2 linked regions of the Mytilus edulis genome follow. The main gene of each other region encodes a partner of the protein of the gene in region 2 in a complex. Links are inferred from orthologs where the notes say so. Each region holds a gene or a part of one and is shown on either strand. Other genes may lie near its edges. The genes, in order: BBSome complex member BBS4-like and BBSome complex member BBS7-like.

Region 1 (15,793 bases), on a different chromosome or scaffold from region 2:
ATTCACCAAAGTTTCATGGACATTGGTGAAAGCCTTTTTGAGTTATTGTCCGAAGTGTTGAAAATCTCCCTTTTTTTATGAATAAAGCCCCATAAATCCAAAACTTAAAATCTGAAATTTATAAGAATTGAAAGGGAGCTTACATCAATAGATATAAACAATTTACCAAAGTTGCATAAAATTTTGTGAAAGTTATTGTCCCAAAATTGGAAAATCCCCCCTTTTTTAAGCATAAAAATTCATAACACTGAAATGTAAAATCTGAAATTTATAAAAATTGAAAGGGAGCTTACATCAATAGATATAAACAATTCACCAAAGTTTCATGGACATTGGTGAAAGCCTTTTTGAGTTATTGTCCGAAGTGTTGAAAATCCCCCTTTTTTTTATGAATAAAGCCCCATAAATCCAAAACTTAAAATCGGAAATTTATAAGAATTGAAAGGGAGCTTACATCAATAGATATAAACAATTCACCAAAGTTTCATGGACATTGGTGAAAGCCTTTTTGAGTTATTGTCCGAAGTGTTGAAAATCCCCCTTTTTTTATGAATAAAGCCCCATAAATCCAAAACTTAAAATCTGAAATTTATAAAAATTGAAAGGGAGCTTACATCAATAGATATAAACAATTCACCAAAGTTTCATGGACATTGGTGAAAGCCTTTTTGAGTTATTGTCCGAAGTGTTAAAAAATCTCCCTTTTTTTATGAATAAAGCCCCATAAATCCAAAACTTAAAATCTGAAATTTATAAGAATTGAAAGGGAGCTTACATCAATAGATATAAACAATTTACCAAAGTTGCATAAAATTTTGTGAAAGTTATTGTCCCAAAATTGGAAAATCCCCCCTTTTTTAAGCATAAAAATTCATAACACTGAAATGTAAAATCTGAAATTTATAAAAATTGAAAGGGAGCTTACATCAATAGATATAAACAATTCACCAAAGTTTCATGGACATTGGTGAAAGCCTTTTTGAGTTATTGTCCGAAGTGTTGAAAATCCCCCTTTTTTTTATGAATAAAGCCCCATAAATCCAAAACTTAAAATCTGAAATTTATAAGAATTGAAAGGGAGCTTACATCAATAGATATAAACAATTCACCAAAGTTTCATGGACATTGGTGAAAGCCTTTTTGAGTTATTGTCCGAAGTGTTGAAAATCCCCCTTTTTTTATGAATAAAGCCCCATAAATCCAAAACTTAAAATCTGAAATTTATAAAAATTGAAAGGGAGCTTACATCAATAGATATAAACAATTCACCAAAGTTTCATGGACATTGGTGAAAGCCTTTTTGAGTTATTGTCCGAAGTGTTGAAAATCTCCCTTTTTTTATGAATAAAGCCCCATAAATCCAAAACTTAAAATCTGAAATTTATAAGAATTGAAAGGGAGCTTACATCAATAGATATAAACAATTTACCAAAGTTGCATAAAATTTTGTGAAAGTTATTGTCCCAAAATTGGAAAATCCCCCCTTTTTTAAGCATAAAAATTCATAACACTGAAATGTAAAATCTGAAATTTATAAAAATTGAAAGGGAGCTTACATCAATAGATATAAACAATTCACCAAAGTTTCATGGACATTGGTGAAAGCCTTTTTGAGTTATTGTCCGAAGTGTTGAAAATCCCCCTTTTTTTTATGAATAAAGCCCCATAAATCCAAAACTTAAAATCTGAAATTTATAAGAATTGAAAGGGAGCTTACATCAATAGATATAAACAATTCACCAAAGTTTCATGGACATTGGTGAAAGCCTTTTTGAGTTATTGTCCGAAGTGTTGAAAATCCCCCTTTTTTTATGAATAAAGCCCCATAAATCCAAAACTTAAAATCTGAAATTTATAAAAATTGAAAGGGAGCTTACATCAATAGATATAAACAATTCACCAAAGTTTCATGGACATTGGTGAAAGCCTTTTTGAGTTATTGTCTGAAGTGTTGAAAATCCCCCCTTTTTTATGAATAAAGCCCCATAAATCCAAAACTTAAAATCTGAAATTAAAAAAAAACGAAAGGGAGCTTACGTCAATAGATATAAACAATTCACTAAAGTTTCATGGAAATTGGTGAAAGTGTTTTTGAGTTATTGTCCGAAGTGTGGACGACGGACGGACGGACAACGGTATACCATAATACATCCCGTCTAAAAGACGACGGGCGTATAAAAAGTTATGAAAATGTTATTGTGGTCAATATCATCTGTAGCGATAATAGAAACATATCCTTATTTTTCGATTTTGTACAAGTTAAAACCATTTTTAAGCAATCTTTTGTACAGGTTATATAACGTGTATGGTGTACTTTTGTACATGTTATAACTTGTATTTTTGCATTATGCAAGTTATAACATGTACAATATTTTTGTACATGTTATAACCTGTACAAAATCGCAACTTGTACACGACATATATACTAGGACCAATTCATTTAGTTTTCACTCTTTATCTATATATATGTCGTGTACAAGTTGCGATTTTGTACAGGTTATAACATGTACAAATATATTGTACATGTTATAACTTGTATAATGCAAAAATACAAGTTATAACATGTACAAAAGTACCTCATACATGTTATAACCTGTACAAAATATTGCTTAAAATTGGTTTTAACTTGTACAAAATTTAATATAAATCTTAATGAAGTAAAATATACATTTAAATTCACCAATGCATAAAGAACAACAATGAATAGGCCAGAACGAGTCTTTTTCTGTAGAGGACAATGATCACAAAGTTTCAGAAATATATGTATCATGACTTATGTTGGCAAAATGTGTTTTCATATAATTCTATGTTTTATGCAGTCCATCATGGCTTAAATAAGTGTTAAACTATTTACTAAAAGCTTGCATTCCTCTATGACAATTACATTAGATACTAGTAACTAAATTCTTCCAAAAAATTTAAGAAGGATTCCTTATAATTTTGGCAAATACTCCTCCCTCTCGTTTTTATAGCATGCAAAGACTAAAACAATATATTATATGCTTACTCTGTAAAAGTAAGAGAGAGCTGAAATAGTTTTCATTGGACCACGCTTCATTATCAATATCTTTGGATCTACTCTTCAACATTTTTGGCCTTCAGCATGACTTATGTAAATTTATAACTCAATTTTTGTTTATAAACTATAAGATCATTGCATGAGGCGAATGTCATTTTGATGTTTTAAATATATATCATCTACTTTGAAAGCATGTATTTGTGGCCTTTGGATGTTGTCTGCTCCATGGGCAGGTTGTTGTCCTTTAGACACATACCCCATTTCAATTCCCAATTTTATTTGTAGACACATCTATCCTGGCTATCCTCTTATGTCTTTAAGTGTCAACTAGAAAGAAAGTATTTTGCTATTGCCTTCAAAGTGGACACTCACAATTATAATTCACTAAATAAAGATATGTCCATAGATAGTCATAAGAGGATCATAAGACATGTCCTAAGATATGTCTTATGACAGGTCTTAGGAATGCTTCGTAATACCGACCCCTGGACAATAACTGTATCAAAAAAGAACAAAACACACTAACATGAAGGAATAATACAAAAGTTATGAAAATGTTATTGAGGTGAATATCATCTGTTGCAATAATAGAAAAATATCCTTATTTTTCGATTTTGTACAAGTTAAAACCATTTTTAAGCAATATTTTGTACAGGTTATAACATGTATGAGGTACTTTTGTACATGTTATAACTTTTATTTTTGCATTATACAAGTTATAACATGTACAATATTTTTGTACATGTTATAACCTGTACAAAATCGCAACTTGTACACGACATATATATCCAGAAGTTTTTCTTTTATTTCAATATACTCATTTATGTATTGTTTTTAAAGAAAATAAATGTATGCCTTTCCAAATGACAAATGTATAAAGAAATTTCAATATTCCTTTTTTTATTTTTGCTTTATATTTAAATGCATCAAATAAATTTAAGCAGACATGATTTGTAGAACAGAATGCAACCCTCTGTCGCACCGTGAAAAGTCGTAAGGTTGTAAGTCACTGGCGTTGATGGAATATGCTCCTAAACTTGGCCTGCTACAAATCAAATCATGCACATGGGTCTATTTTGTTAGATGAGGGTTGGAAGGAGGAACAATTTGATAAATAGAATTGAATAAATATATTTAGTTGTTTTCTTGAACCTTTACAATTCAATCACAAAGACACTACACAAATGTGCTTTCAATATACACTGTGATAAGACTGAGAGAAAAAAGTGCTATTAAAGGAACAAATTACAGCCGCACAATAAAGATCGAATGGAGGAATTACTCATTGACATAATTAGTATAAAAAATGATATGGTAACATCCTATATAAAAGGCGTAATAATTTGCATAAAGCAGTGCCATGGAAAGATAAATAATTGGAGGACAAATAAAACCACGCACAAAAAGACGATTAACAAACAGTCCACAAGACATTACAATCAACACGTGTGTGAAAATGTTTATGTTAAACGAAGAAGTATATCAATAGGCCAATATTTCTCATAGTTAAGATTTATACATCTTGGATTTTTTTTTCGAGAAATATTAATACGAGTTCGTTGATCGATGTGGAATACCTGTTTCACAGATTAATCAAGGGCGTAGCTAGAAAGAAACGATGTGGAAGCAACTACCGCCGAGCGGAGCGAGGCGAAAAAAATTTGGGACCCTATTATGCAGCAAATTTTTTTTTTCGGTTTTCGGTCATAGGACGGTTAAAAGAGGAGCTATATGTAGATAAAAATTTATGAATGTAAAACTATTAATAAATCTTCTGAATATAGTAATACATAAACAACACATAATTGTGATACAGAATTTACTCAAAATTGTCCAAAATCTGCTCTTCGGGTCTGGTCAGAAACAAACTTCTCTATTACTTTGTCAACATTCACACTGAAATCCCGATGAATATGCAGTAATGCTATGTAACTTTCGTTGTTCATTGTTGATCGTACATTTGTTTTCAATTACATACGTAGTACCGTGACTGATAGATCTCAGGGCCATCATGGCATGCTAGCACTCGAGAGATGTTATAAACCAGCGTACGTGTTCGGCATCGAGCGACCTCCCAATTGAATTCGTCAAAATTACATGCTAGGTCAGTTTCGTATGTTTCAGACAATATTGAGATTTGTTCGTTTGTGATATTTCCTACAACACGATGAAGCAGATACAGCACAAAGAAGCGATTTTCTGATAGCTTGACGCGACCCCACTCTCCAGTTGCCTTATCAAATGGTCTATTCTATGAACGCAAAAAATAATGAGACTTTCCAATACTGTTTTGGCGTGGTTGCAGGGTGATTGGCTCCGGTAGTCTGTCAACCACATCGCCTCGGCATATTTTCAACGATATCGAAGGGATCTGATAATTCTAATGCCGATTGGTACATCTCATTCCAAACTGATGAACTGTACACTGTAAAATGTGCTCCAAAACTACATATCTTAGACTGAGTATTACAAATTCAAAAGTAAAAATCTTGCAAAAGATACAAGTACCCTTCCGATTTTGTCATAATCTCCAAAAACAAACCCAATTATTTTGAAACCAAATGTCGTTATTTAATGATATTTCATCAATTAAAAAAAGTGACAACATAGTTGTTTCCTTTAACATTCAATTTATAAATTTTTATTTTGCCATTTCTTTTTTTGTATGCCGAATCAATGTGCACGCAACTTCGGAGCTAACGTTACGATCATTTTCTGAATGAACAGCTTCATCAACACTTGTAACTAGGTTGTCAAACTAATATCCGGGATAGACAGAAAAGACACCAACAGTCTCCGATTCCGATTGATCAACATATCTCTCTCTCTTCTGCTTTTTTTTTTTTTTTTTTTTTTTGTGAAAACGACGTGGATGCACGTGCTGTCGTGCCTCCGGGTAGCTACGCCCCTGTAATAATACGTACACTTTCTAATTGACCGGGGCACCTGATATATTCCCAAGTTTTCTTTTTTGGGTTTTAGTTTTGGTGGATTCGTGCTGCTTTAGATTCCTATGTTTATTGTTGTTTTTTTGTTGTTTTTTTTTTCATCCTCTTTTTTTATTATTATTACTTTCCATGGCGTAGTCCGTTGTTCTACGACTACACGTTTTGAGCGTCCCTGTGTATCATCCGCCTTTATTTCTTTTTTTACCGTACGGCCTTCAACAATGAGCAGAACTCATACTGTAGCAAATGCATAAAAATCCAGAAAAACGCCTCTTGCTTAAATTGACTAGGTGCAAGGACGATTTCATTAATGAATGTTGGTCTCTTCTGCTTATTATTCGAATTTGGAAATGTTTCTTGAACTTCTATGGTTTAGCTCAATACTTGTACTGAATTTGCATGTGTTGTATACTTTACGGCAAGTTGGAAAAAACTTGAAATTTGGTTGTTGGTCCGAATTTGTCAAAAGAGGTTATATAAAAGGGACACAAATAGAAACTTGGGCACGGTAGTTACGTTATACAGATTGGAAGCCATGATATTTTTTCACTCAAAAGGTGCAAATAATGGTGCTAAATTCGAGATACGAATAGATTAGCATATTTTAAGCTCAGAATATTTACATACGGTATATTCGACTTGGTATAGATAAATGAGAGGAGATGTGGGGTATACTCCAATGTGACAGCAATCCAACGATTTACCAAAAGACAACCAAAAGTCCATGTTCTATCTTTACTAAACGTTCAAGCTCTAAGTCTCTCCATATCCCAAAAAGTGGTGAGTAAATTAAAGGGGGAAAATGAATAGAAACTATCAAAGATCTGAAGAAAAAAACTTTACTTACCAAACCAAAAAAACATGAGAGAGACCTATAACTGTTTTAGACAAACAGATTTCATAACTGTTAGTATAACACTAGAAATGTATTATGATTGCAAATGAGACAACTAGTATACAGATCATCAGTTTTTTTTTTATTTCAATGAATTATAAAGCTATTAAACAGATTGTTTTTGCGATACAGTGTGATTTATTAATCAAAATAGTATTTTATAAGCCAGGAACCTGCAGTAAAACGAAATTAGTCTACAGTTTCAGATTATAAATAATGAAATAAGCCTCAGCACATAATTTCACTCCGATTTATCGAGGGAACCTCAAACATGTTTACCATCTGCCTTATTAGGGATCAATAATTCTGAAATATTTAGATTTAAAATTTATTTGCTGTTATTAGTTTAGAAAAAAAGTTCAAAATACTTTGTTTAAAATACTTTAGTTATTGAATTTAGGTGATTTAATTTTTTTGTTGTAACAATTATAACATTTTAATTATAAACATTTTATTTATATGCAACAAAATTTCAACACCCCAGAACATGAAATATATAGTTGATTCAATATTTCACAGCTTGAATTTCCTTAACAGAGTGGTTGCTGCTTACAAGGATTCAAACTGATTAAGTGGACGGCGCCCTTTGTTATTTAGATTGTTAAGTTTTCCATTTTGTGCTTTGTAGACTGCCGGCTGACTTTGTCTGTTGGTTCGTTTTTAACATGGTTTTGTCCCTTTGTCTTTGACTATGAGTTTAGTATCCATAAGGTATCTTCTGCTCTCTTTTAAAAAATGTAAAAATGTAAAATGTACACACTTATTGACATTTTTTATTGCAGTAATGTTGAACTTATTGTTTTCTCTTACCATTCATGTGAATGTTAACTACATTGATATGCACTGTATTCTTAATAATGTCGGCTGAACCAAACGAATTTGCATGTATGTCCTTTAAGTTGTGCAACTGTATTTTGTTATGGTGTTGGGCGATTTGCCAGCGGGCGAGCTGTCTGGCTTCCACAGTGATTTATAATAAAAGTTAACAACGAATATACGAACAAATAATGGTATTTCGTATTACTACATGAAATCATATGGTGTCCTGTATGATTCTACATCTATAACATAACATACAAGACTTATTTAAAGTCGGTTATACATATAACAATACAACATAAGCTTTGTAGAGACTATAGTGGGGCGATTTTATATAAAGTGGGGCGAGTTGGTGAAAAAGTGGGTCGATTCGGTGTGGTCGATTTGCGGTGGGGCGAGTTGTCTCAAGTTGCTTCCACGTCGATATATTAAAAATAATACCAAAATAAAATAAACGGCAAAAAAAAACCAGAACAAATAATGGTAGAATCTCATTAGTATTGCTACATAAAATAGTGGTCTGTATGATTCTACATCTATGAATATCATGTTCATTCATATCGGATGGGTTAATTATTGGTACGTTATTATGCGTTGTTAGATATAATTGTTGGTCGTAGTCTTCACTGTAATGTTCGAGTGTTATATCGATTTAAAATATTGATGACTTCGAAATATTCAGTATTGGAATTTTTTGGAAAAAAGAAAATAGCTCTATTATTTTGAATTAATATATATTCAGGAATTATATATTCAACAAAGTTGTAAACACGAAAGGGATTAAATGATTTTTTGGTTGAACTCCCAAACTAGAATTCGAACAAACCTCTGTAACTATTCCTAACAATATGGCCGATGGAGTGCGAGAAGGCAGTCCACTGCCAGATAAAACTGTACTTACAGAAGTAGTTCAGGTATAAATAAGAAATATGTTGCTGTAAAATTCAGTTTCCATGTTATATTATCACTGTATATAAATCAATTGGCAGTCACTGCAAATACAAATACAATATAAATATTTCATTAGCACAAACTCATCAACAATAATAATATTAAATGGTAAAGGCTCATGGTATACATACCTGCCAACTGTCACTATTTGCGGGAGATGAGTGGGTCTTTTCACCGCCGAACACCACCACACACCACCGAACACCTGAAAAACCACCAACCACTAAAAACTTTGATATTATACAATAAAACGATAAAATAAATTAAATTACATATAATTTAATCAATTTTTCGATTTTTATGGGCATCATTTTTATGTTAAAATCGAAAATCAATACAAGAAAAAACGTCTCCGGATTCATCACTTTCAGGATTACATTGTGTGTTATAAAATTCAAATATATTCATAATCAGTAATCAGTTCAAGTATCCTGGATCTCTATTCATTGGTTAGATTTTTATATTTTTCTCTTTTATTATTATCGGTACAACTATTTTATAGAAGAGTTAGAAGAAGAAAAAATGGAAAAAGTATATTTGAAATGTCCATGAGGGTCAGCGGAGTTCAAAAAGTTGGGTGTTACAAGACTCTTCCTTTCTGTTTTCTGTAGATATTCGGACTTTAAATCTTCTTATTTGTTGAATTAATAACTTGAATATCATATTTAATTCACATTGATAACGATAAAAGACCAAATAATAAACTTTTGGGGTGTTCGGTGGTGTTCGGCGGTGTACGGTGGTGTTCGGTGGTGAAAAGACCTACCGGCAGGAGATTTCCTCCATGGAGGCTCCCAAATGAAAATTTTGAAAGAGCAATTTTTTCACCAATTTTAAACAAAACAATTAATTTTACAATGGCTATAGGCTTGTAAAAGTATGAAGAGGCCAAAAAACAACTATCGTAAAGTGGTTTTACTAAAACTGCATGTAATATAACAAAGACGTCTAAACTGGATGAATTTGTATTGATGACTGAAGTACAAGATAACGTCATAAGTAAACGACGTTGGATATACAATAATGAATGCCGCGTTACGTTAACGTTCTCTTCTGTGCGTGATTTCCAACAACAACATTTAAATGTATTTGAAGGCCTTCTTTAAGGATTTGTAGAATTATATAAGAGCCATCATGCACGTAAAAAACCCATGGGCATTTCGGAAAGTTGGCACTGGCAGGTACACATGTATGGGTATATCATCTACATAGTTGGTCAAACATAAGAAGTATTGCAAATAATGACTATATTATATTAAATATGTAATATTATAAGGCCTAAAAAAAAAAATCTGTGTTTCCGGTAACATCATTTTGAAAAACAGGGTCAGTTGATAACCATTTTTTTTTTTTTTTTTGAAGATCCAATAAAAAAATTTGGGTCGGGGCTAAAAAACAGGGTCGGTCTGGTTACCGGAAACTCAGATTTTTTTTTTCTCGGCCTAAACAATGATTATTGATTAGACATATTGACAATTTTATAAAGTTTGTTCTGCTTTACGCAGGTTCAGACTGTCTGAAATGAAAGAGGAAGTCAATTTTAGGATTGTGTATGAATTATTATTTAACAAAAAGATTATATTATTTTCATGTTTTTGAAATTTTGTAGGATCAATGATTATATTTGAAACTTTCTGTTAAAATATGGCCCTTTTAGTTGAGTATTTTTCACAATGTAAAAGAAAATGTTTTTCATTTTCAATTTGACCAGAATTACATACAGAGCAGTATCTCTCATTTCTGGGAATATTTAGATGTCTCCCTCTTTCAATCATCAGTATATGAGCGCTTATACCTTTATTACATATATCATGTATATTGCAGCTCTGTCACTTCTGTTTTTCAATATATCAACATAGGGTGGTCTTCTGCCCATTATGTAGACACTCTTGAACAAGTCTAACTTGGCTAGAAGAGTGTATGAAAAGACACTTTTTATTAGTATTTTTAAAAACACTAAACAATTCTATACATGTACATTGTACCTTGGCATGAATCCTGGTCCGTTCGCCAAAATCATGTTTGCTCCCATTCTCGTTCTCAGCATAGGGGGGTAGGAGGGGTCCTGAGCCCAAAATTCAGGACTTAAAAACATGAAATAGGAAGTCCCGAATTTAAAAAATCTAAATCCCACCATCCCAAAATTTGAAAAAACAAATTCTCGGATCCTGAAGATATTCTTTCCAACTGACTTAGTTTTAATAGAGTGTTCCTTTTGTAGGAGCCAGTGAAGATAGCAGGAGCATCAGACATAGACACCTCCTCTGATGTACCAAGTATACCAGCTGGTCCTCCCAAACCTAAACCAAAAAGAGGTATAGAATACATGTACACTTGATATTACTTGTATTTAACTTTATTATAGTATATATTATTTGTATTAAACAAAAATAGATTTTATGCATAAAATAATTACATTCAATGGCAATGCTTCTGCATCAATCATCCATGGTTATGATGATGATAGAGATAACAAATTGGTTAAGCATTAAAGCGCTATCTAAATAGTCAGGATAAAATCTCAAAATTAGGCCAGTTTAAGATGTTTAAAGTTCTAATGCCTATGTTTAAGGCAAAATTCTAAAATATTTTTATACTGATGTCTGTCAGACTGGTGACTTATGAGCATCTGTAGAATTTTATTTAATATATTTATCTTACTTCTTGATTTTGGTGAGTTATTGCATTTTGAATTGCTTGCATATTGTGTTTGCATTCTTCTGATTTTGTAGATGAATCTTTAAGTTTATCTTGATTTCCGTCTATCTCTGTCTATTGATTAATTTTGGTTTTCATTTTACAGTAAGTAAAATTTAAAGAAATGTTTTGTAAACTCCATCCTTATGATCTCCACTTTTGCTGGTGTGAATTCTGTATTAGGCACTGTTTTAATGTAAAACTAAGGAGATATTGGTTGAACTGACAATGAGACTTCTGAACACCAGAAACAAAAGGATGTTCATGTAATCAAACTTAGATTTAAAGAAAATATTCTAATTTTACTGAAGTTCTTTACTTTATTTATAGCACCAGAACTACCAATATTTGAGAGAAAGAATTGGTTGATTCATCTTCATTATGTCAGGAAGGAGTTTGATACATGTAAATCACTCATCAAAGAATCAATGGCCGAAAGTGGGGGCATGTGTGAATATGCTGTGTATGTCCAAGGTAGGATTGTTATGTAGTTTTATATACCAGTACTTTTGACAGGGAGTCTAGCTACATGTAGATAGAACTAAATAAGAGTTGGAATAGAAATATGCATGTAAAAAAAAAATATTTATACATTTGATAAATTTTTCCTGAATTTCATTAGTGAATATTGTATTATCACTTTAGTAGCAATCTAATAAGTTTTTGCAATGTTGCCACTGTAAAAATTAGCAGATATGCATGAGCCAGTGCTGTTTATCATGTATGTATTATTTCATTTTTTTATGAAGAAAACTTTTATAATACTTGTATTAAAAATTAAAAAAAACAACATATAAATTGAAAAATCTTCTGTTATTACATAATTATATTTTCAGCATTGATATTAAGACAGGAAGGTAGGATACAAGAATCTCTAGAACTGTTTCAGACCTGTACACTACTAAATCCTCATAGTGCTGATAATCTGAAGCAGGTAGCAAGATCACTGTAAGTCATAGTTTCATCTAGATCATGAATACTATATTAAGATTCACAACTAAAATTATTTTAAGGATTTTATTTTTAATAAACTTCAGTAGTATGAAAAAGAATCTTTAGAAATATCAAAATTGAAATGAAAAACTTGACACTAATGTGTACAAACATTTATTTACTTTAATGATGCACATTGATTTAGTTTAGAATATTGGTTTAAATTCATTTCAACACCAAATTGAAAAGTTTGTATTTATTCGAACAATGTGTTTGATTTTTTATTCAAAGGAAATGGATTTAACCTTGATTGTTCTAATTTTTGTCGAGCCTGCAACTTTTGTTGCAGAAAGCTCGACATAGGGATAGTGATCCGGCGGCAATGGCGGCGGCTACGGCGGCGGCGTTAGCTCACTTCTTAAAAGCTTTATATTTTAGAAGGTGGAAGACCTGGATGCTTCATACTTTGTATATAGATGCTTCATGTTACGAAGTTTCCGTCAGTCACATGTCCAATGTCCTTGACCTCATTTTCATGGTTCAGTGACCACTTGAAAAAAAAGTTCAAATTTTTTGTAATGTTGAATTCTCTCTTATTATAAGTAATAGGATAACTATATTTGATGTGTGCATACCTTGCAAGGTCCTCATGCCCGTCAGACATTTTTCACTTGACCTCGACCTCATTTCATGGATCAGTGAACAAGGTTAAGTTTTGGTGGTCAAGTCCATATCTCAGATACTATAAGCAATAGGGCTAGTATATTCGGTGTATGGAAGGACTGTAAGGTGTACATGTCCAACTGGCAGGTGTCATCTGACCTTGACCTCATTTTCATGGTTCAGTGGTTATAGTTAAATTTTTGTGTTTTGGTCTGTTTTTCTCATACCATATGCAATAGGTCTACTATATTTGTTGTATGGAATGATTGTTAAGTGTACATGTCTAGCGGGCAGATGTCATGTGACCTTGACCTCATTTTCATGGTTCAGTGGTCAAAGTTAAGTTTTTGAGTTTTGGTCTTTTTATCTAATGCTATATGCCATAGGTCAACTATATTTGGTGTATGGAAATATTTTATGATCTTAATGTCAGTCGAGCAGGTTTTATTTAACCGTGACCTCATTTTCACGGTTCATTGCACAGTGTTAAGTTTTTGTGTTTTGGTCTATTTTTCTTAAACTATAAGTAATGTGTCAACTATATATGTTGTATAGAAGCATTGTTAGCTGTACCTGTCTGCCTGGCATGGTTCATCTGACCTGGACCTCTTTTTCAAGGTTCATTGGTCTTTGTTTAGTTATCTTGGTTAATGTAAAGTTTATGTGACAGTTGTAATAAAGCTTAGATTTATACTTAAGACTATCAACATAATATCAATGATTAGTATAGAAGGCGAGACATTTCAGCGTGTGCACTCTTGTATATCTAAAGATAGTTTCTGAAACTATTTTAATGAACAGATTCCTATTGGCCAGACACAAAGCTGCCCTTGATGTTTATAATGAAGCCATAAAACTAAATGAGAGAGATTGGGTAAGTTGTTTAAGTTTTAACACATCACAGTTATAATTTTCCATATTTTGTTTTTAGATGACGAAAAAGGAGTATTTCATTGTTGTTTTTAAACAATATGAATAGGGGAAAAGTATAGTGAACCATTAAATTTGCATAATCTTTTCATAATTGTTGATTCTGTAATGTACAAATGTAATATTAACATCTATTTTGCCACTGAAGCTTTCAATTAATTTTTGTTTAAACTGAAAGTTTTACATACTAATTTTTTTGATTGTCAGGGTTGAGAAATTGAAAGTCAATTTGTGTTGTTCTGGAGTTACCTCCCATATAAGTGTAAAATTAGATTGAGTTGTCTCCCATATTGTGACTACATAAAATCTAACTATAAATTATGAAATAAATTTATTCATGAGAAATACAATATGCAGTATTCTAATTTGGATGTTTTAAATATTTACAGGAAATAGCTCACAACCAAGGAGTTTGTAACATGTACTTGAGAGAATATGACAAGGTATTTAGTCAAATAGAGAGAGAATATGACAAGGTATTTAGTCAAATAGAGAGAGGATATGACAAGGTATTTAGTCAAATAGAGAATATGACAAGGTATTTAGTCAAATAGAGAGAGAATATGACAAGGTATTTAGTCAAATAGAGAGAGAATATGACAAGGTATTTAGTCAAATAGAGAGAGAATATGACAAGGTATTTAGTCAAATAGAGAGAGAATATGACAAGGTATTTAGTCAAATAGAGAGAGAATATGACAAGGTATTTAGTCAAATAGAGAATATGACAAGGTATTTAGTCAAATAGAGAGAGAATATGACAAGGTATTTAGTCAAATAGAGAGAGAATATGACAAGGTATTTAGTCAAATAGAGAGAGAATATGACAAGGTATTTAGTCAAATAGAGAGAGAATATGACAAGGTATTTAGTCAAATAGAGAGAGAATATGACAAGGTATTTAGTCAAATAGAGAGAGAATATGACAAGGTATTTAGTGAATAGAGAGAGAATATGACAAGGTATTTAGTCAAATAGAGAGAGAATATGACAAGGTATTTAGTCAAATAGAGAGAGAATATGACAAGGTATTTAGTCAAATAGAGAATATGACAAGGTATTTAGTCAAATAGAGAGAATATGACAAGGTATTTAGTCAAATAGAGAGAGAATATGACAAGGTATTTAGTCAAATAGAGAATATGACAAGGTATTTAGTCAAATAGAGAGAGAATATGACAAGGTATTTAGTCAAATAGAGAGAGAATATGACAAGGTATTTAGTCAAATAGAGAGAGAATATGACAAGGTATTTAGTCAAATAGAGAGAGAATGTGACAAGGTATTTAGTCAAATAGAGAGAGAGTATGACAAGGTATTTAGTCAAATAGAGAGAGAATATGACAAGGTATTTAGTCAAATAGAGAGAGAGTATGACAAGGTATTTAGTCAAATAGAGAATATGACAAGGTATTTAGTCAAATAGAGAGAGAATATGACAAGGTATTTAGTCAAATAGAGAGAGAGTATGACAAGGTATTTAGTCAAATAGAGAGAGAATATGACAAGGTATTTAGTCAAATAGAGAGAGAATATGACAAGGTATTTAGTCAAATAGAGAGAGAATATGACAAGGTATTTAGTCAAATAGAGAGAGAATATGACAAGGTATTTAGTCAAATAGAGAGAGAATATGACAAGGTATTTAGTCAAATAGAGAGAGAATATGACAAGGTATTTAGTCAAATAGAGAATATGACAAGGTATTTAGTCAAATAGAGAGAGAGTATGACAAGGTATTTAGTCAAATAGAGAGAGAATATGACAAGGTATTTAGTCAAATAGAGAGAGAATATGACAAGATATTTAGTCAAATAGAGAGAATATGACAAGGTATTTAGTCAAATAGAGAGAGAGTATGACAAGGTATTTAGTCAAATAGAGAGAGAATATGACAAGGTATTTAGTCAAATAGAGAATATGACAAGGTATTTAGTC
Region 2 (16,177 bases):
AAATTATGAGCTAACCTGGGAAAAATCATTAAAGACATGATTTTACATCTCTAAACTTGAGAATTGTTGCGAGATTGTAAGAAAAATTACAAGTGATTTTTTGAGAAAATTAAGGGGAGATTATTCAAACATTATATGTTATAACTAACTTATATGTGTATATTTTAAAATAATACTTGTACAAGTACTACCCATGAGTGTATTAGAACTGGCTTGTTGTTTAGACTGCTTCAATATTTATTAGCACATTTTTGTATTGTAATCCTATTTTAATTAAGCTGTAGATCTCATCTAACATGCTCAAAGAACATGAAGACCAACACATGTACACACACACATGGATGTGTGTTCTTCTCCAATTTTAAAATGTAAAAGTATAATACTATCATATAATCATAATCGTGTGTATCAGTGACAAAGTATAATGAACAAAGGGAGATAACTTATATTTAACTTCAATTTCATTTGTCTAGCACAAGTTTTGTTATTAAAAATTTGCCTCTCTATAAATGCTATCTACTAACACGACTGACAAAATGTGTGAACAACCATATTCTTAATTCACTAATAACCTGAAAGCATCTAATCTCAGCTTTACTTTCAAGAAATTGTCTTAGTTTGATCAAAATACATTAAATTAAACCACTTTCTTTTAACAAACATATTTAAGTTTAAACATGTTTAAAGTAATTTCACTACTCAACTTTTCAAATCCAAGTGTTCTGGTTCATAAATTTTATTTACTTACATTGACTTACATGACTTAGGAACTTCATTAATGTATAACATGCTAATGTAGATGTATTTGTTGAAAATTAAGTCACATTTCAACTTTTTTTGTAGTTCTAAGGACACATTAAATATGAACAGTTTGTGGTAGGGGTTAAAAATTGTGATTTGTACTTTCTGTGGCTCATTTAAACAACTATAATTTTATTAAATTGCTTTGTTTCAGATTTCAGCTTCATGTCCACTTGATAACATACAAAACAGTCATGTGACAGTGTCAGCCTTGGGCTCTGAAGTTGTGATACATGTACAGATAATTTTGTATTTAAAAAAACAATAATATCAACTAAAGTTTATCTTAAACAGTCAGGGGACTTACTGAAATAAGTGATTTTTAAATCACTTATTTGAGTAGCAAATTCAAGGTTTTGTCACAAATTGGGATTTTGTAGTTTTTTCAAAATTTTAAACACATAGGATTAAATAACATCTTTTAATTAGTAAAATTAAAAAATATGAACTTTTTGCTTCTTTTAAGTAGCAAGGTTTATGCCTTTGATGCTATCATTTACCTGAAAATTCTATTTTAGTTGAAAAAATGCTATAATAATGGCTTTACATAATGAACTGATACTTTCTTCAAAGATTTTTCACAGCAGTGGGAGTATTTTTCCTGTGAAGTTCAAGGTTTCATCTTTCAGATTATGTAATAAAATTCTACTGTTCGCGATAAAAATTTCACTGTTCGGGGGTGTTGAAATTAGTGGGGGTTATTAAAAGAATGATACTTAAAGAAGTGATTTTGGGAAGGAAATTGAGGTCTGACACTTAAACAAGTGATTTTTATGTCATTATCCTAGATTCAGTACAAGGTCATCACCTGAAATGACCTGGTCATCCTAGACAACACAGATGTTGGTTCTGATAAGTTTAGAAACATAATTAGTCCCTGGATCATTAGTATTCTATATTTAAAGCTACACTAATATTAAATCACTTCTTCTAGTGATTAATTTGTACTACTTAAATAGGTGATTATTAAAGAAAGACAACTCTAACTTCAAACCTTTATGGAAATAATGTTACTTGAATCAGTGATTTAGAAAATCACTTGTTTAAGTAAGTCCCCTGACTGATAATATACTTGTAAAATCAATTAACATTTAAAAAAATATAAATGACTATGAGATAAATTATAAAAACCAAAACTTTATTTAGACATGTTATGACTTTTACATTTGACCTAGTGACCTCATCTCTTATGTGGTCTTCTTTATCTCAGAAGGCATTGTTCATAATGTTTGGGAAATATAAAGTTTTTCATTTAAAAGATTAGAATTTTGTACAGTATTGTTTCAATATACATGTATATTTCAGATTTCCTACTTACATTCATGACTCAAGAAAATTAAGGTCTACATATTAATTCCTTTTCATCTATCTCAATATTTTTATACCTTTGAAACATGGAGAGACCTTTAATTTTTGTTGAGATTTACTGCCAATAACAGAAGCAATAAAAACTTAAGGGTAGGCAATTTGAGGCATTACCATGGTAACAAAAGGATAGGTAGGGAAACCTTGATACATCATGTACAAGTATTGTGTTTTCTTTTTTGGCCTGAAATCAACTTATAATATTACAGTCAGGGGTACTACTTGAGGAAGTAAAAATAAATATACACTTATAAGTTAATTTGTAGGATACTTGTACAAGTGAATTTTATTTACTTGCACATGTTGTGTAGGTAACAAAAAAATTGGCTTAGTTATGTCCCTTACACATTCAGATTTTTTTACTTGTATAAGTAAAAAAGTCATCCTATCTTCTTTTCTTGAATTCTTAGGATTTCTTTGCTCTTATAGAATCTTAATTTGTCTGCCCTTTGCAGATGTCTTTACTAATCATTTCAGTGTAATTTCATGGGAAATGAAAATCCTGTTTGTCTGTTATCTTCAGAACACTGCTCATTTACAAGCCCCAAGGAGCAATTTTTGAAGGCCTTGCACAAATACTTAAGATCTTTGCACAATCAGTTTCTTTGTTGAAATAATGAGATGAAACATTGAACTCTTATCAAAAATTATGAGCTAACCTGGGAAAAATCATTAAAGACATGATTTTACATCTCTAAACTTGAGAATTGTTGCGAGATTGTAAGAAAAATTACAAGTGATTTTTTGAGAAAATTAAGGGGAGATTATTCAAACATTATATGTTATAACTAACTTATATGTGTATATTTTAAAATAATACTTGTACAAGTACTACCCATGAGTGTATTAGAACTGGCTTGTTGTTTAGACTGCTTCAATATTTATTAGCACATTTTTGTATTGTAATCCTATTTTAATTAAGCTGTAGATCTCATCTAACATGCTCAAAGAACATGAAGACCAACACATGTACACACACACATGGATGTGTGTTCTTCTCCAATTTTAAAATGTAAAAGTATAATACTATCATATAATCATAATCGTGTGTATCAGTGACAAAGTATAATGAACAAAGGGAGATAACTTATATTTAACTTCAATTTCATTTGTCTAGCACAAGTTTTGTTATTAAAAATTTGCCTCTCTATAAATGCTATCTACTAACACGACTGACAAAATGTGTGAACAACCATATTCTTAATTCACTAATAACCTGAAAGCATCTAATCTCAGCTTTACTTTCAAGAAATTGTCTTAGTTTGATCAAAATACATTAAATTAAACCACTTTCTTTTAACAAACATATTTAAGTTTAAACATGTTTAAAGTAATTTCACTACTCAACTTTTCAAATCCAAGTGTTCTGGTTCATAAATTTTATTTACTTACATTGACTTACATGACTTAGGAACTTCATTAATGTATAACATGCTAATGTAGATGTATTTGTTGAAAATTAAGTCACATTTCAACTTTTTTTGTAGTTCTAAGGACACATTAAATATGAACAGTTTGTGGTAGGGGTTAAAAATTGTGATTTGTACTTTCTGTGGCTCATTTAAACAACTATAATTTTATTAAATTGCTTTGTTTCAGATTTCAGCTTCATGTCCACTTGATAACATACAAAACAGTCATGTGACAGTGTCAGCCTTGGGCTCTGAAGTTGTGATACATGTACAGATAATTTTGTATTTAAAAAAACAATAATATCAACTAAAGTTTATCTTAAACAGTCAGGGGACTTACTGAAATAAGTGATTTTTAAATCACTTATTTGAGTAGCAAATTCAAGGTTTTGTCACAAATTGGGATTTTGTAGTTTTTTCAAAATTTTAAACACATAGGATTAAATAACATCTTTTAATTAGTAAAATTAAAAAATATGAACTTTTTGCTTCTTTTAAGTAGCAAGGTTTATGCCTTTGATGCTATCATTTACCTGAAAATTCTATTTTAGTTGAAAAAATGCTATAATAATGGCTTTACATAATGAACTGATACTTTCTTCAAAGATTTTTCACAGCAGTGGGAGTATTTTTCCTGTGAAGTTCAAGGTTTCATCTTTCAGATTATGTAATAAAATTCTACTGTTCGCGATAAAAATTTCACTGTTCGGGGGTGTTGAAATTAGTGGGGGTTATTAAAAGAATGATACTTAAAGAAGTGATTTTGGGAAGGAAATTGAGGTCTGACACTTAAACAAGTGATTTTTATGTCATTATCCTAGATTCAGTACAAGGTCATCACCTGAAATGACCTGGTCATCCTAGACAACACAGATGTTGGTTCTGATAAGTTTAGAAACATAATTAGTCCCTGGATCATTAGTATTCTATATTTAAAGCTACACTAATATTAAATCACTTCTTCTAGTGATTAATTTGTACTACTTAAATAGGTGATTATTAAAGAAAGACAACTCTAACTTCAAACCTTTATGGAAATAATGTTACTTGAATCAGTGATTTAGAAAATCACTTGTTTAAGTAAGTCCCCTGACTGATAATATACTTGTAAAATCAATTAACATTTAAAAAAATATAAATGACTATGAGATAAATTATAAAAACCAAAACTTTATTTAGACATGTTATGACTTTTACATTTGACCTAGTGACCTCATCTCTTATGTGGTCTTCTTTATCTCAGAAGGCATTGTTCATAATGTTTGGGAAATATAAAGTTTTTCATTTAAAAGATTAGAATTTTGTACAGTATTGTTTCAATATACATGTATATTTCAGATTTCCTACTTACATTCATGACTCAAGAAAATTAAGGTCTACATATTAATTCCTTTTCATCTATCTCAATATTTTTATACCTTTGAAACATGGAGAGACCTTTAATTTTTGTTGAGATTTACTGCCAATAACAGAAGCAATAAAAACTTAAGGGTAGGCAATTTGAGGCATTACCATGGTAACAAAAGGATAGGTAGGGAAACCTTGATACATCATGTACAAGTATTGTGTTTTCTTTTTTGGCCTGAAATCAACTTATAATATTACAGTCAGGGGTACTACTTGAGGAAGTAAAAATAAATATACACTTATAAGTTAATTTGTAGGATACTTGTACAAGTGAATTTTATTTACTTGCACATGTTGTGTAGGTAACAAAAAAATTGGCTTAGTTATGTCCCTTACACATTCAGATTTTTTTACTTGTATAAGTAAAAAAGTCATCCTATCTTCTTTTCTTGAATTCTTAGGATTTCTTTGCTCTTATAGAATCTTAATTTGTCTGCCCTTTGCAGATGTCTTTACTAATCATTTCAGTGTAATTTCATGGGAAATGAAAATCCTGTTTGTCTGTTATCTTCAGAACACTGCTCATTTACAAGCCCCAAGGAGCAATTTTTGAAGGCCTTGCACAAATACTTAAGATCTTTGCACAATCAGTTTCTTTGTTGAAATAATGAGATGAAACATTGAACTCTTATCAAAAATTATGAGCTAACCTGGGAAAAATCATTAAAGACATGATTTTACATCTCTAAACTTGAGAATTGTTGCGAGATTGTAAGAAAAATTACAAGTGATTTTTTGAGAAAATTAAGGGGAGATTATTCAAACATTATATGTTATAACTAACTTATATGTGTATATTTTAAAATAATACTTGTACAAGTACTACCCATGAGTGTATTAGAACTGGCTTGTTGTTTAGACTGCTTCAATATTTATTAGCACATTTTTGTATTGTAATCCTATTTTAATTAAGCTGTAGATCTCATCTAACATGCTCAAAGAACATGAAGACCAACACATGTACACACACACATGGATGTGTGTTCTTCTCCAATTTTAAAATGTAAAAGTATAATACTATCATATAATCATAATCGTGTGTATCAGTGACAAAGTATAATGAACAAAGGGAGATAACTTATATTTAACTTCAATTTCATTTGTCTAGCACAAGTTTTGTTATTAAAAATTTGCCTCTCTATAAATGCTATCTACTAACACGACTGACAAAATGTGTGAACAACCATATTCTTAATTCACTAATAACCTGAAAGCATCTAATCTCAGCTTTACTTTCAAGAAATTGTCTTAGTTTGATCAAAATACATTAAATTAAACCACTTTCTTTTAACAAACATATTTAAGTTTAAACATGTTTAAAGTAATTTCACTACTCAACTTTTCAAATCCAAGTGTTCTGGTTCATAAATTTTATTTACTTACATTGACTTACATGACTTAGGAACTTCATTAATGTATAACATGCTAATGTAGATGTATTTGTTGAAAATTAAGTCACATTTCAACTTTTTTTGTAGTTCTAAGGACACATTAAATATGAACAGTTTGTGGTAGGGGTTAAAAATTGTGATTTGTACTTTCTGTGGCTCATTTAAACAACTATAATTTTATTAAATTGCTTTGTTTCAGATTTCAGCTTCATGTCCACTTGATAACATACAAAACAGTCATGTGACAGTGTCAGCCTTGGGCTCTGAAGTTGTGATACATGTACAGATAATTTTGTATTTAAAAAAACAATAATATCAACTAAAGTTTATCTTAAACAGTCAGGGGACTTACTGAAATAAGTGATTTTTAAATCACTTATTTGAGTAGCAAATTCAAGGTTTTGTCACAAATTGGGATTTTGTAGTTTTTTCAAAATTTTAAACACATAGGATTAAATAACATCTTTTAATTAGTAAAATTAAAAAATATGAACTTTTTGCTTCTTTTAAGTAGCAAGGTTTATGCCTTTGATGCTATCATTTACCTGAAAATTCTATTTTAGTTGAAAAAATGCTACAATAATGGCTTTACATAATGAACTGATACTTTCTTCAAAGATTTTTCACAGCAGTGGGAGTATTTTTCCTGTGAAGTTCAAGGTTTCATCTTTCAGATTATGTAATAAAATTCTACTGTTCGCGATAAAAATTTCACTGTTCGGGGGTGTTGAAATTAGTGGGGGTTATTAAAAGAATGATACTTAAAGAAGTGATTTTGGGAAGGAAATTGAGGTCTGACACTTAAACAAGTGATTTTTATGTCATTATCCTAGATTCAGTACAAGGTCATCACCTGAAATGACCTGGTCATCCTAGACAACACAGATGTTGGTTCTGATAAGTTTAGAAACATAATTAGTCCCTGGATCATTAGTATTCTATATTTAAAGCTACACTAATATTAAATCACTTCTTCTAGTGATTAATTTGTACTACTTAAATAGGTGATTATTAAAGAAAGACAACTCTAACTTCAAACCTTTATGGAAATAATGTTACTTGAATCAGTGATTTAGAAAATCACTTGTTTAAGTAAGTCCCCTGACTGTTAAATAAATCAAAATACAATGTTCTGATTCCAAAGTTATTTGAACTTTGAAATTCCTAAACTGACAGCAGTTTTACAAACCAATGAGTACAAAAAAGACTTGTTTGGACTTTGTTTTAATTATGAACATGATGAATCAAATGTCCCTATCATGCTGTTGACCTAGGATAACTTTTGGGTCAAAACACACCTTGTATAAGCTGAACCTTGCTTTTTAATGCAGATTTTTCTGTGAAATTCCCTTATTTGAAAATATGTATTGTATACAATTTGCTTCAGAAAGTAAATGTATGCGTATCAGATGACTCAGTATCTGATCATTGATGGTCAATAGAGAAAACAATGCCAGCATTCTTTTACATTCATTTTGTTGACATGCTTGACTATATACACGTATATCATGTTTATCATAACTAAGAACATGTGTACATCTATGACTGTGTAATGATGTATAGAGCATGACAGTCAGTGGATATATTTTTGTTCAATCAACAATGCATTTTGAATTTATAATGGTGCAAAAGTTTTGCGGGTACCTGAAAATTAATGTAAAGTATCAAAAAATCATTACCATTAAGATTAAAAGCAATAAATATATCCTTGCCATCCTTATAATGCCACGTATTGGTATGTAGCCGGTAGCCTTATCATTTGGGTAGAGCTCTTCACAGTTAAGGTAAAAATCTCCTTTTTCCCGAACTTTTTAAACATTCCATTTGACATGACTGAGATTCCAAATACAACTATTATGTTGTCTTAATGAATTATGGTTAAATGAAAAATATCTTCCACGAATCAAATTAATGTTTAAAAACAACGACCATGAATTATTCAAAAGAGAGAGAAAAAATTTAACTATATACGTGATGCATAACTTAGCAATACCGGAAGTTCTATACTTGGCAACATTCAACATTCCAAAATACAAAATACGTTCAAGATGATGGAATTAAACTTATCACGAGTTGATTACCTCCAGGTTGAATTTCATTTATCTACATGATAACATGTCAATCTTTTGTTCAAGTTCAAATTAGAATTAATGCATACTTAAAGGCTGCACTCAAACTCAAAGATGCAGATTGTTTTTCCTGCTTGACCAACATACCAAGCTTTAACTGTTTAAGATAGGCTACAGTTTACTCTTTATATTCCACCAACTATATTAGATGAACAATTTTTTTTGAAAGTGTAGCTTCCCTAACTTTAATATGAGGGAGGTGTTATACCCAACTGCGGCCAAGCTTCGCGATAGGTCGTGCGACATAATGGTATCCGGTCGTTCCGGCCCCAAACCGATCCGGCCCCAAGTCAATCCGGCCCTAAGTCGATCCGGCCCAAGTCGATCCGGCCCACGTCGATCCGTCCCCAAGTCGATCCGGCCCCATAATAAAATATGAATTAACTAGATTTTGGAGGAATTTGTCACAAACTTTAACAGTATAAATGGAATTTGAAAAAAGTCTCCGATTGATGATGGGTGACAACAGGTCAGTGAAGTATTGGAGTACCAGTTAACGAACTATTTTAAATCCATACGGAAATTAGTGTTATTGTGTCTGTTTGTATCGCAGTTTTATTCATTTTTAAATTATGAAGTTATTTTCCATGATAACTTTTACTTTGAATTTCATGGCGATTTTTATTTTATTCAGTTCACACACAGAATAGCTAAATAAATATTTACAGTCCAGTGGACCTATAAAATTTAACGCATAATAATGACTTATTTAATCAAATCATTAGTCTATAATTGGTTTGTTTATTCAACAGTTGTCTGATGATTGTGAACTAAGGTAATGCGACTCGTAATGATAAATCACTTAATTCAATCCAATGCTGATTAATTAAAGTTACGTAATCCGTTTTTCAACAAGGTCTTTATAGTTTGATCTTCTGGTTGGTGTATATTAAAATAATTATTTGTATTTTTTTTCCAGGTTACATCATAGGCTTCTATACCATATAAAAATATTTTTTTGTAACATCGGATATAGTCAATATATTTTTCTTATTTTGACAATATTTTGAATAGTGTGTAGATAAAAAAAAAAGAAGTCATATGAGTATCCATTATTCTTTATTGCAAGAAAACAACAAAACAATGACATTGAATGCACGTTTTCACTCTCTAAAATATAATATCAGCACCCTTTTATCATGTTCATAGAAAGGATTCGGCAAATCAAACAACATTTCTCAATTTTAGAAATGTCAAGAACCTAAAAAGAAAAAAAAAAGTTAATATTTATCAGCTTGGGGATCGGCTTGTACCGTTCATGTATGTAACTATTTGTTATTATATGTTACACAAGATGAAAGACTTGTTAGGATCACAGTCAATTGAAAGAAAATGCTAATTACATTACTGCTGATTAATGTTGATGTCTGAATTTTTTTATATACGTTTTAATATAATTATACCCAATAATCTTAAAAACTTGTAATAAAGACATAATCAACCTAGTTGTTTTATACTCATCTAAAGAAAATATTTTTCAAAGGCCTTTTTTACTTTTTTTTACCGTACACCTTTAACATTATAATAAAAATAATAAACATTTATGAATTACAATTAATATATATTTATTTTTATTCCTTAGAAATATTTTTTTTTATTGGGGCCGGATCGACTTTACATTTGGGCCGGATCGACGTGGGGCCGGATCGACGTGGGACGGATCGACTTGGGCCGGATCGACGTGGGGCCGGATCGACCCGAAAGCCGACATAATCAGACAAACAAACTTTATTAGATTAACTCTCTAAGGAACGATCGTTTTCATTGGTCAATTCAAACCTTCGACCTCACACCTGCAAAAATAGAACACGCGTACTTTAACGTTGAATGGACTGATTAATATTCACGTAGCTGGTCAAGGTCGTCTAAAGCTTCTATCGTCGTATTCGCATGCATGATTCTAATCACAATTCTAGCTTAATGTGCATGTGAAATTCATTTGTGTTATAATTTTCTGCAATTAATTGGTAGTAAAGTTTAAACTTTAAAATCTTAACAGTTAAAATATTCAATTTAAATATCTCCTCTAAATCAAGGGACGACATCAAAAGTTTAATGTAGGATAAAAAAAAAACCTCAATTCACATATTTTTTTTCATTGACACACCCAAGTTGCTTATCCTGCCTTCTCTTTTACTCAATGGACTCGATGAATTAACGTTGTACTTGAAAAATGAAACTGTATACTTTACTACAAACACTTTTCATATTGTTTGCCAAGTTTTAGATATTCTTCATAGAATAGTGATTTTTTTTCTGATTCCATTATAACTTGAAGGAAAAAAATAAATTCCAAAATTGTAAGTAAATTCATAACATGTAACACGCTTTGTTAAGAAAAAAATGGAGATGGCCAATCATGGCACAGCGGATAATTAAATGAAGTTTATACAAACGATATAATTCATGAGGTTTTGCTATTCTCGGTTGAAAAAACGAACGTAAATTATATATTGTAAATATTAAACCGTTGGTTTTCCCAAGTTGAATGGTTTTACACTAGTAATTTTGGGGCCCTTTATAGCTTGTTGTTCAGTGTGAGCCAAGGCTCTGTATTGAAGGCCTTACATTGACCTATAATGGTTTACTTTTATAAATTGTTATTTGGATGGAGAGTTGTCTTATTGGCACTCACACCACATCTTCCTATATCTATGTAAATACAAACAAACAATGTCTGTATTCATTAAATCATTTAAATGTATTTATAAAAAGGTGAGTTTCATCTTGTACATACATTTAGTCATCCTTAATTTCTTGATATTTTTTATCAGTTTATCATACACGTTTCGTTTTGTATTTTATTTCAAATACGAATACATACTACATATACTTTAGCGGATTGTTCAACAATGTTATGCAACTCTATTGTTACAGTATAAATTTAAAAAATTAATATTCACACATTCATAATCGAAAACAGTACATTTATATGTAATAAAGAAGATGTGGTATGATTGCCAATGCCACAACTCTCCACAAGAGACCACAATGACACAGAAATTAACAACTAAAGGCCATGGTACGGCTTTCAAAAATGAGCAAAGCCCATACCGCATAGTCAGCTATAAAAGGCCCAGAAATGACAATGTAAAAACAATTTAAACGGGAGTTGTTCCTTATAAACTACGACATTCCTCACAAGTATTAATATTTATTTAGTTCCAAACATTCGAAAGAAATAATCTTCACTGAATTCATTCAGGTGCACAATTGATACGATTAGTTATTTTGTTTCTATCTTTGGGGAACAACTTCCTCCTTTTATGGTAGCTACTGTATGTATGTTTTAGCATGACAATAATAAAGGAGGAATGTCAGTGCAACCCATCATTAATTATTGTAAAGCAGGATCAGTATTATGAAATACTTTATAAGTGACTACGACATTGTAAGGATTATAACCTATCGTAGGTATGAAAGAAATTAAAAGTGGTTCATTTATTCATCCGTATAAAAGCGGCACATGTATTTTATTTTATCCTTATATTTCTCTGACATCATGCCGGGTACAAGATAATTGAGTTGCTGCATGCATAAAGAACTTAGAATATCAGTATACTTTTTTGACCTCACTATTTGAAGTTAGCAAAACATTTATTTAAATCTTTTGGCCAAAGGTTTGTAAACTATACAAATCATTGTTTTTACGTTCGTAGTAACATAGTAAATTCCATTGTCGGTCACCTGTGTCAATTCACGTGCACACTGACTAGACTGACTACATTGCTGTTGTATTTAAATCTTTCCGCCAATGAAATGAGACGTTACAAGTTGTTTGTTTATGATACGCCAGAATGTTATCAATGAACTATCAAATGCTAAACTTCACTGCATATCACTGTACATGTACCTGTGAAAGAGAACGAAGTCGGAAAAACTTGAGGAAAACTTTAATTATTTACTGTGCCTGTCTGAGGGTCTCATTGGGGTGTTATAAGTGTGATGCGGGATGGGCAGATTTTTTTAAATCGTGACACATGAAAGTCTAATTAAGTGTGAAAACGGGAAACAAAGAACGACGGGACACGGGAAATTACATGCACTATAATAGTAACGTGAAGTGGGATTCAGGATTCTCACTAAACAATAAGAAGGATCCGACCCCCCAATGAGACCCCCTTTACTATATCCTGTAAAGTTAATAGCAGATCTATAATATGTAATATATATATATATATATATATATATATATATATATATATATATATATATATATATATATATATATATATATATGCAATTCCCAGCATTATCATGATTATATCTGGTGAGCATGGTGAGAAATCAGGCAGGTGTTACCTGTGAAAAATAATTCTTTTAAGACTTAATATTTTAACAAAATTAAAACTAGACTAACAGACTAAGATCTGAATTAAATTTCCCCCCATTTTACATTTTTTTAATCACTATCATGACTATAATTGGTTATTTACCTTTAATCATCAGTGATTTGTGGCATAAACAGAAACCATATCAATTGATGAAGGTTTTTCATGGCCATATGGGCATATTATGTAGTCGCAATTGAAAACTTCTACCTTTTATGCTACCTTCAGTGGCAAATTTTCTAGGTTGAGCTATATTTACATTTGTATTATCTCTATTGACATTTTTCAAACTAGCTCTCAGTATCTTCATCATTATTTGAAAGTGCTGTCCCAATATTTTAAATGCATAGTTGAATATTTCTGTGTAACAGATCTATATCTTATGAAGCTATTGCTGTCAGAGTGCAATTTAAAAAAAGACACTTAATCATAATGATCATGTAAATATCGTAAACTAAATTTGACAAAAGGTGTGTGTTTCATTCATGTCTGTCAAATATCTGAAATTAACAAAAATGAAATATACGAGGTGCTCCATTAAAAATGTACTCTAATGGCATTATAGAGGTGGTGTTACAATATAATATATAATTATAATAATAATATAATTAAAAATCATGGAAACTGTAATAGATATATATATACAAAAAAACATTTATGATAAAATAGCAAAACCTCATATAAGTTCTAATTGCCAAAAATATTCAGTCAACTTGTTATTTGAGTTGTTGCCCTTTAATGACATTTTTCTTTACATTTTGGGATTTCTATGCCCCACCTACGATAGTAGAGGGGCATTATGTTCTCTGGTCTGTGCCTCCGTTCGTCCGTCCGTCCGTCTGTCTGTGCCTCCGTTCGTCCGTCCTGTTAAAGTTTTTGGTCGAGGTAGTTTTTGATGAAGCTGAAGTCCAATCAACTTGAAACTTAATACACATGTTCCCCATGATATGATCTTTCTAATTTTAATGCAAAATTATAGTTTTGACCCCAATTTCATGGTCCACTGAACATAGAAAATGATAGTGCAAAGTTCAGGTTAAAGTTTTTGGTCAAGGTAGTTTTTGATGAAGTTAAAGTTACATCAACTTGAAACTTAGTACACATGTTCCCTATGATATGATCTTTCTAATTTTAATTCCAAATTAAAGTTTTGACCCCAATTTCACGGTCCACTGAACATAGAAAATGATAGTGGGAGTGGGGCATCCGTGTACTATGGACACATTCTTGTTTTGTATGTAACAAATCAAATATGAGAATTTAAGTTTAATATGAGATCATGAACCCTGACAGCTAATGGGGCAGGGATATAAAGTTTCATCTGTGAATTTACATGAGCCTGTTGGGTTAGCTATCAGTTTATTTGGCCATCATATCATGCAGATTGTCCAGTCAAATAAGAATCTATATTTTGTTTATTGACAGTTTCACAAATCTGATATGTCTTATACATGTATCGTTATAGGTTGGAGTGACATCACAAAAATCAACAAAGTTATTTCCTGGAGCTGTAGGCAAAACGCAAAGGGTGAGTTTATCATTTACCTAAAGCTACAGAGTTCCTACTCAGGATTTTTTTTTAAAGATGATTAGATTGAGACTATTGACTGTATGGGAAAGTTAAACAAAATAATGAATATCAGATTTTCGGTTCATATGAAATACCGATATGTGGTACATGTATGAATGCCAACAATAAGACAACAGGGTTCTCGCTAAGGATTTTTGAAGGAGAGTCCAGGGACTCGTCATTTTTAGCCATGATGAGTCCAACAGCAAGAAGAAAATATCTTATTATAATATATTGTAATATTTTAGTCTCTATTTCCTAACAGAGCAATGACATGACATTAAATTCAGATCACTTTTAAACTTTTGCTATAAAATGATGGTATTTGTGTTTAACTGTGTTCAGTTTAAACAAAATATTTCAATCTTGATGCATCTGTGGACTCACCAGTTTTGAAAATGGTGAGTCCAAGACTCATGGACTCGCCTTAGTGAGAACCCTGAAGACAACTATCCACCAAAGACTGAAAGATTGGAACAGATTTAGAACTTTATCAGATCTTAACCTTTCTGCTTTTATTATGTTGATATGAATACCAACGAAAGAAAAGAGCAAACTTAAAAAATAGGACCTGAGTTCTTACTTCTAATAGTACATGTTAACTAATCACTGAATGTTTTTTTCTTTATTTTGATGTAGATTGTAGTTGGTGATCAAGATGGATTATTACAATGTCTTCAGATGAAAAAAGGAGATGCTCAGGTTTGTAACAAATATTTATGGAAATTATTGAGGTTTAGTATAATGTAATGCCATTTGTTTGATATAGACTTATAGAACTGTCATAAGAAATGCTTCTATTATTAGTATTAGTTATAGATGGGAAAATGGATTTAATGGATTGATTGTAATTTCTGTCTTTCTTTCCATGAGCATGATCTTTTTAGAAAGTTGGTTCCTTATAAATAAGGAAAATGTTTTTTACACCCAGTAAATGTATCAAAATTGGAAAAATAAAAATGATATTACCTCAAATGTAGTTTATATCATGCATTTAAAAATATCATTTAAAGTATGGATTACAGGCCAAAACTATTGGTCACATGACTTGTCTTCTTAAAAATAAAACTAAACAAAATAGTACAGTCTTTTATAAAACTTACATTTTCTGAGTTAGTTCCCCTTAATGTCAAAGTTGAAAAAGATATTTTTTTAATTTATTTGTAAGAAACAATCGTAGAATACGATTTATCATGATTTTCTTAAATTAGAAGAAAAGTCTGTCAAATTAGTTGCATTCATCCTTCAAAATTTGCACATTTCAATAAATCTCTAGAAAAAGTGTTTTTTACCATTTTTCATTTTTTTTGTCGAGCCTGCAACTTTTGTTGCAGAAAGCTCGACATAGGGATAGTGATCCGGCGGCAGCGGCGGCTACGGCGGCGGCGGTGTTAGCTAACTTCTTAAAAGCTTTATATTTTAGAAGGTGGAAGACCTGGATGCTTCATACTTTGTATATAGATGCCTCATGTTACAAAGTTTTCGTCAGTCACATGTCCAATGTCCTTGACCTCATTTTCATGGTTCAGTGACCACTTGAAAAAAAAGTTCAGATTTTTTGTAATGTTGAATTCTCTCTTATTATAAGTAATAGGATAACTATATTTGATATGTGCGTACCTTGAAAGGTCCTCATGTCTGTCAGACAGTTTTCACTTGACCTCGACCTCATTTCATGGATCAGTGAACAAGGTTAAGTTTTGGTGGTCAAGTCCATATCTCAGATACTACAAGCAATAGGGCTAGTATATTCGGTGTATGGAAGAACTGT

The links.
Region 1: BBSome complex member BBS7-like (region 2) and BBSome complex member BBS4-like share a complex: the UniProt entries of both Caenorhabditis elegans proteins name them as parts of the BBSome complex. The link is inferred for Mytilus edulis from reciprocal best matches to the Caenorhabditis elegans genes osm-12 and bbs-4.

Annotation. Positions count from the first base shown.
Region 1 is NC_092348.1:11,239,367-11,255,159, forward strand, and holds the start of BBSome complex member BBS4-like, read left to right. Parts: upstream 1-8,459; 5' UTR 8,460-8,529; coding exon 8,530-8,595; intron 8,596-10,853; coding exon 10,854-10,947; intron 10,948-11,659; coding exon 11,660-11,803; intron 11,804-12,165; coding exon 12,166-12,277; intron 12,278-13,726; coding exon 13,727-13,799; intron 13,800-14,244; coding exon 14,245-14,298; intron 14,299-15,793. UniProt on the Caenorhabditis elegans protein: Component of the BBSome complex. The BBSome complex is thought to function as a coat complex required for sorting of specific membrane proteins to the primary cilia.
Region 2 is NC_092345.1:61,640,741-61,656,917, reverse strand, and holds the start of BBSome complex member BBS7-like, read left to right. Parts: upstream 1-8,337; 5' UTR 8,338-8,424; coding exon 8,425-8,463; intron 8,464-14,301; coding exon 14,302-14,364; intron 14,365-15,045; coding exon 15,046-15,108; intron 15,109-16,177. Other genes in the region: protein disulfide-isomerase A5-like, read right to left, coding at 8,056-8,091. UniProt on the Caenorhabditis elegans protein: Component of the BBSome complex. The BBSome complex is thought to function as a coat complex required for sorting of specific membrane proteins to the primary cilia.